Linked DNA regions of Canis lupus familiaris. The protein of the gene in region 1 interacts with the protein of each later gene in a biochemical or structural test. Links are inferred from orthologs where the notes say so. Each region holds a gene or a part of one and is shown in the gene's direction. Other genes may lie near its edges. The genes, in order: MALT1 and RELB.

What was found.
Region 2: of the proteins of MALT1 (region 1) and RELB, one has a biochemical effect on the other in vitro, tested with the Homo sapiens proteins (2 studies listed by BioGRID). The link is inferred for Canis lupus familiaris from reciprocal best matches to the Homo sapiens genes MALT1 and RELB.

What each region holds. Positions count from the first base shown.
Region 1 is NC_049222.1:17,505,894-17,509,711, reverse strand, and holds part of MALT1 (mucosa-associated lymphoid tissue lymphoma translocation protein 1), read left to right. Parts: intron 1-1,558; coding exon 1,559-1,725; intron 1,726-3,818. UniProt on the Homo sapiens protein: Protease that enhances BCL10-induced activation: acts via formation of CBM complexes that channel adaptive and innate immune signaling downstream of CARD domain-containing proteins (CARD9, CARD11 and CARD14) to activate NF-kappa-B and MAP kinase p38 pathways which stimulate expression of genes encoding pro-inflammatory cytokines and chemokines.
Region 2 is NC_049222.1:111,144,897-111,148,489, reverse strand, and holds the end of RELB (transcription factor RelB), read left to right. Parts: intron 1-2,030; coding exon 2,031-2,419; 3' UTR 2,420-2,849; downstream 2,850-3,593.

The sequences.
Region 1 (3,818 bases):
TCTGACGTGTGTTTGGGGGACTTGTGTGGTCTGGGTGAACTCCACAGAGACTCTACAGTTTATATATTGGGACTATAATTTAAATTGGCAGGAAAGGGAGAGGTCGCTGCAAAGGTGTGTGAGGTACGAATTCTGCAGTATGTCATGGAGATTATCTAAAGGCTTTGGCCTTTGTTGTTGGTTATGTCTCTTTGGGAAGATTTTGGGGGTTTTTTTTGTTGTTTTGATTGTTTGGTTTAACTTTCTTGTTTTTCTTCTCTTGAATGTTTCATACTTACGCTTTCTCTTCCTATGAAATGGTTGAAGTCCATACTTCTTGTCCTGTTATTTATGACTTTCTGTTGTCTGACCTTAACCTGGCTTTCTAACCTTGTATATGCCTACTGAACACAATGACATTGAAAAGGAAATGGTATATGTATGTTAAATAGTGGTAGTACGTGATGTGATGAACACTGGGTATTATACGCAACTGATGAATTATTGAAAACCACATCTGAAACTAATGATGTACTATGTGTTAGCTCAGATTAAATTTAAATAAAAATTAATAAAATAAAAATTAGTGATAGTTAAAAGAATAGTTTTAACAAAAGGACAGTGAGACAGAGAGTAGGTTCTTTGGGACAGAGGTCAGCAAACTTTTTCTACAAAGAGCTAAATAGTCCATGTGTTTCAGCTTTGTGGACCAACTGCTCACCTCTGCTGTTACAACGGAAAGCAGCCATCCACCACTGTAAATATGTATGTGAACGAGTGAGGCTGTGTTTACAAGATCAGGTGGCTGGGTGGGTTTGACCCACAGACCAGATTTTGTCTTGCCCCTGTATTAAGGTATTTCTAGATGCTTAGAAGTACTTTGAATGTTAGTAGTACTGCTAGTCTTAAAAACTGTTGAAAAAAATGAGGACACATAGTAAGAAAAATTTGACAGTACACAAGAGTTTATAGTAAAAAGTGAATCCTCCAGCTGCCCTGGCTCTCCTCTGTAGGAGAATTACTACTACTGGCTTCTTGGCTATCTTGTCAAAGTTAACTCTGTACATATAAGAGCAAATATATATTCTTACTAATAAAAATGATATCATGCAGAACAAACACTGTTCCTTATCTTTAATCATATTGAATATATATGTAAGCACACTACTTTGCTAATACAAAATACTGTATATTAAGTTTTTTCATTTTTCAAAATGCCTCTTTCTTGGGTCATATTATACTTTATAAAGGCAGAAGAATGAGTAGAGAAAGGTATCTGGTCTTTCTAATCAGTATTCCCAAATTAGATAAAAATTTTTATTGACATCAGAGCCAAACTTCTATCCTGTTTCAAGATTTCTCTCATTTTCTAATTTAGTAGTCACAGGAGCTGAGTTGGAGAAGGGCATAAAGAGGAATCCTCTATGATGGCAGAAGAAGGAAAGGACAGGAGCATTCATAACGTAAATAACTGCACCGGTGACTTACAGTTTATCCCTACAGAAGTTCATACCAGACATGTAGCAGGCATATCATGTTGGAGAATCCTGTTGACTTGAATTAAATCTGTTGTTTGCAGTTGTCTGGACTTGGAGCAGTGTTCTCTTAAGGTCTTGGAGCCTGAAGGAAGTCCAAGCTTATGTTTACTGAAGCTGATGGGTGAGAAAGGTTGTACGGTCACAGAACTGAGTGACTTCCTGCAGGCTATGGAGCACACGGAGGTTCTTCTGCTTCTTAGCCCCCCAGGTAGGTTCTTCTCTTGGGTCTGTTCTCCAGGAGTTTGTGTAGACAAACGTAGAGGAAGATCTCTCATTTGACAATGAATTGTATTAAATATTTTTGGAAAATATAAACATTTTTTCCTTCCAGGTTGAAACTAAAGAACACATGAAAAACAAGTATAATGCATAAATATTTATTGGGTTGTGGTTCAAAAGCATCAACTATAGATGATATTTTGGGGACTTGTAAAACCATTTGGATTTAACAAGTGTATTAGATATTAGGGAATTATCATATGATAATGGTATTGTAGCTCTATAGAAGAATGTCTTTATTCCAAGGAGATGCATGCTAAAGTATTTAGGGGATGGAGCACCTGGCTGGCACAGCTGGTAGAGCATGCAACTCTCACCTCAGGGTCGTGAGTTCAAGCCCCACGTTGGGCGTGAAGCCTACTTAAAAAAAGTATTATTTAGGGGTAAGATTTCTTTTTTGTTTCTAGAGATTTTTATTTATTTGAGAGAAAGAAAGCAAAATAGAGAGCATGAAGTGGGGGAGGGGCAGAGGGAGAAGGAGAAGCAGATTCCCTGCCGAGCAGTGATGTGGAGCTCGATCCCAGGACCCTGAGATCATGACCTGAGCTGAAGGCAGATGCTTACCCTACTGAGCCAACCAGGTGCCTCTACGGGTAAGATTTCTATAACTCGTGTTGAAATAGTGTAGCCAAGGCTCAGTCAGTAGAGCCTGTGATTCTTGATTTTAGAGTTGTGAGTTTGAGCTCCACGTTGGGGGTAGAGTTTACTTTGAAAGAGAGAAAGAAAAAGAAAGAAAACAAAGAATCAAAGAAAGAAAAGAAAAGAAAGAAGAAAAAAATGCAGCCAAAAAAATAAGTATGTATTAATATGTAGACAAATGAGATAAAGCATATATAATAAATGTTTATTGTTTAAGTATTTCACCAACATGATGCTTTTGAAATGTTGATTGATTCAACCGTGATTTTTCTTCTGATCATACCAATATTGAGAGATTTTTCACTTCCAGGGTCAGGTGTGAGGAATAGGAAACAGCCCCTTGTCTCCACAATGACAGATAAAGTTGGTCTGCTGCAGCAGTGTCAGGCAGGAGAAACCATGTGATCTAAGTCACTTGATGGCACCAGCACCGCAGACCTTCTCTCTCAGGGGTTTGGTTCACCATTATAGGTTCCACTAGAAGCAGAGAAACCAGTCAAGATTGAGAGGTCCATGGTCTAAGGACTCATGCTCTCTATTTTACATGGTTTTGATGTATGCAGTTTTTATTACATAACCGGCTTATTTGTGATAATGTTTTGAAGTTAACATGGGGAACCTAAAATTATAATTTAGATCTTTGTCAGTTCTGGGGTTCCGGAATCTTCTAACTGAAAAGTCTTGAAGCAGGTTGGGCTTCAAGAGAGGCTGAGGACAGCCCTGTTTTCAAAGAATTGGTTTGTTTTCATCTTTGCCCCTCCTTTCTTGTTTTTGGCTTCCTTCCAAGAGTGACTTTCTACATAGTTGCAAGAGCTCTCCTGACTGTTCCTTGCATTCATCTTTGTTCCAGCAAAAATCATAATAAGATTCACTCTTGCTGGGATCCCTGGGTGGCGCAGCGGTTTGGCGTCTGCCTTTGGCCCAGGGCACGATCCTGGAGACCCGGGATCGAATCCCACATCGGGCTCCCGGTGCATGGAGCCTGCTTCTCCCTCTGCCTGTGTCTCTGCCTCTCTCTCTCTCTCTCTCTCTCTCTCTCTCTGGGACTATCATAAATAAATTTAAAAAAAATTAAAAAAAAAAAAAAGATTCACTCTTGCTAACTAATTTCAATGACATGCTTGTCCCTACACCTGTCACTGTGGCGAAGGAGATGGAATGTGCCCATTTGCTGGCTTAGACCCAGGAGAGAAGTTGGGTTGAGTCAGCTTTCCAGAAACTACGTGGATTACCAAACGAAAGTGGGCCAGCATAATATGCTGAGGAGGTAACTTAAGAGTCCGCTACAAATGGAAAGGACCCTAGATTATAAGTCAGGAAACTTAGACTCTTAAGATCCTCCTCTGCTTCCCGAGGCCTAATGTAGATGATATAATAGGTCTT
Region 2 (3,593 bases), about 94 Mb from region 1:
GCTGAAGATGGCACCAAACTGCTGAACCACCCTGGCTGCCTGGCCTTTTAGATTTTATTGCATTTCTTTTTATAGACACTATATAATGGGTACATAGGTGCTTTGTGTATGTTTACTCATTGAATCTATACCATCACATCACTTCCCCCCTCATTTTACTGATAAAGAAACTGAGGCCCGGGAAGCTGAAGTCTCTTAGCCAAGGTCACATACTGCATTTGCGGTGGAGCAGGGACTTGAACCTGGGCATCTATACAGGTAGATTAGTGATACAATATTATGTGGAACAGATAGCAGGGGGTAAATGGTAGATAAATGGGAGGGGTTGTCAGAGCCAACCAGCCTTAATTCAGAGCCTGTCTCTAGCCCAAACACCCTCTGGCCTGTTCTACCCCTGCTTTCATCTTAACTCATATGCCAGCCTCTGCTTCCCATGAACTGCAGCCTTATCTGGCTGCCATCAGAAGCCTCCCCAGCCGCTGACCACTAGCTCTAACAGTGCTGTCCCCTAATACCCCAGCTACCCCAGGGCACCCAGCTCCCAGCCAGCCACCAACAGCCAGCCACTCAGAGTCTGCTGAGCCTGGATCACTCCAACCAGTCCCACTGTGGAGGTTTCAAGTATCACCTGTTGTTCCCCCTACCCACTGCACCTGGTAACTAATGCCCAGAGCTCTACCTATAGCAACAACCAATCCTAGCCCACTTCACCAGTCTTCAATCCCCAAGTCCCAAAGCGTCTCCTCTTTAGCCACTGCTGTTCATCTACGTCCTCCATCACCCGTTTCCCAATGCCTAAAGCCCTCCTCTCTCATCCATGGGGCAAAGCTGCTCTGGCATGATAGTATAATGGTTAGGAGCATGGCCTCTGGAATCAGACTGAGTTTGGATTCTGAAGCCTGAATTTAGCCATGTGACTTCTTTGGATCTCATCTGTCAGATGGAAATCTTACCTCTTAGGGTCCTTTTTAGAATCTAGTCAGGTCATATCACACAGATAGTTAGCATAGTTAGTGCTCAGGAGATCTTAGGAACTTGCTGGACAGGAATGCCAGGAATGCATTTGTTATGATCATGTTTAGCTGTATTCACAACAAAACCCAAATTAACAGGGGCTTCAACAGGCTATATTTCTCTTCTCAGATAAACAGTGGTAGATAGTCCTGGGATGGTGTGGAGGCTGTAGGATCATCAGAGACCCAACCAAGCTCCTGCCATTTTCAACTCATTTTCCATCTCATGGTCCAATATGGCTGCTGAGGCTCCAGCCATCACACCCATAGTCCAGCCAGGAGAACTTAAGTCACATGATGACATTTAGCTGTAAGGGAGGCTGGGAAATAGAGTCCCAGCAGCCCTGAGTCTTTCTGAGATAAGCATAATTTGCCTTTGCTGGTCAGGTTTGTCTTGTCTCAGAAAGAGACTCTCCTTTATAATGACATACAATTTTACCTTCCAATTTGGGAACTGGTGACTTCTCATTTAGGTCTTCCATGTGTGGGGCTTTCACTTTTTGGGTGGTCTCTATAACTTGGGTGAGGGGAGGACTTTAGAGCCTCTTCAACATCCTTATTTTTTGGAAAAACTCCCCAGCCCTGCAGAAGCATAGTTTGAACCCTGGTTCTACAACTTACCAGCTATGTGTGACTGAATTATTTTGCCTGTTTGCTTTTTTTTTTTTTAAGATTTTATTTATTTATTTATTCATGAAAGACATAGAGAAGCAGAGAGAGAGAGGCAGAGGGAGTAGCAGGCTCCATGCAGGGAGCCTGATGTGGGACTCGATCCCTGGACCCTGGGATCAAGACCTGAGCAGAAGGCAGATGTTCAACCACTGAGCTACCCAGGCGCTCTTGACCTCAATTTGCTTATTAAGTGCGAATGGTGATAATGCCTACCCCAGGGTTCTCCTTGGGATTAAAGGAGGCCACGGTGATCATGCATTTAGCTCTATTAGGTCACTGGAGTTTGGGCATGGCCAGAAGTTGATGCTAAAGCCACCCTATTTTCCTTCCCTCTCATCTGTGCAGGCCCGTTCCTCCCACCGTCAGCCCTGCTGCCAGACACAGACTTCTTCCCTGGCACCGTGTCCCTACCCGGCCTGGAGCCCCCCGGTGGGCCGGACCTTCTGGACGACAGCTTTGCCTATGATGACAGCACGGCCCCCACACTTTTCACCATGCTGGACATGCTGCCCCCTGCGCCGCCACTCGCCAGCGCTGTCACGGGCAATGGGGCTGCAGGGCCGGCTGTTGGAGAGCCTTCCGGCCCTGAGCCAATGACGCTGGACTCATATCAGGCCCCAGGCCCCGGGGACGGGGGCACTGCCAGCCTTGTGGGCAGCAACATGTTCCCCAACCAGTACCGTGAGGTGGGCTTTGGGGGAGGCCTCCTGTCCCCGGGGCCCGAGGCCACGTAGCCCTGAGGTGCTGGAGGAGAGGCACTGGGTGGGGAGGACTGGAGGTGGAAGGGGCCGTGCAAACCCAACGAGGATGTCCCGCACCGCACCTCCATACCCGTGGGCCCCCAAGTGGTCAGTCTTCCGATCTCCTCATCCTTCTTAATGGGACATCTTTGGCGCTGGTGAGAAGCTCCGTAGCACCGGTTTCCCCTGAGCCCATTTTACAAATGAGAAAACCGAGTCCGGAGAGGAAAAGGGGCTTGGCTCCCATGCACCAGCTTGTAAAGTTGCCTCAGCCCCCACGAGTGGGGGCGCCTTCTCCAGGTGGATTCTGGAGTGTACATAATGGGAGAAAGGTGCAGATCCTCAGCTCTCCTCCCCCGAGCTTGAAGGTGGGGGATAAAGATTGTTTGTTGTGAGTCTTCCCAATAAAGATGAGTTTTTGAGCCTTGGGAGTCTGCTGTCTTCTCCGCTGGGGAGACCCCAGGGCGCTCACGCACGAACCCACGGGGATCTCCTCGGCTCCGCCTCTCTCGGCAGCATCCTCCAAGACCCCGCCCCTCGCGTCCAGACCCCGCCCCCTCGCGCCCGGGGCCCGCCCCTTCGCGTCAGCGGAAGCGCGCTTCTCCACGTTCCGCCCCTCCCTTTCGTGCGGCCTCCCACTTCCGTTTCCGGTGCGGGCCGCGCGCGAGCGCAGCGGTGGGAGGCGGCGACGAGCCGGTGAGTGCAGGCAGTGGGCCCCGACCTTCTGGCTTTCGGGGGGGCGTCAGCCCAGCTTCGCCCCAGTCTCGGCCTTTCCCCGGGCTGCTGTGAGCCTCTGCTCGGCCCCAGCCCCGAGGGCCGCCGGCCCCGCACCCCCTCCGGCCTGCCGCGCCTCAGGCCGCGCCCCTGTCCCCGCGGTGGGCCCAAGCTCGCCGCGTACGACCCCGCCGCCTACCACAGGCCCCACCCCCTTGTCAAAAACCTTACCCTGATCTGCGAGGCCCGGACGCGGTCCCCGAGCCCAGTCCAGAGCCTCGGGCTCCGCCCCTGTCTACAAGCCTTGCCCCTGAGCGCAGCCCACCCCCTCCTGTCTGCCAGCTCCGCCTCCCTGTCTCCACTCCGTTTTTCAGCATCCCCCGCCCCCGCCTTTCGGATTCCGTCTGTAGACCTTAGTCCCCCTCTGATCTTTATTTACAGCACTCCTCTGTGT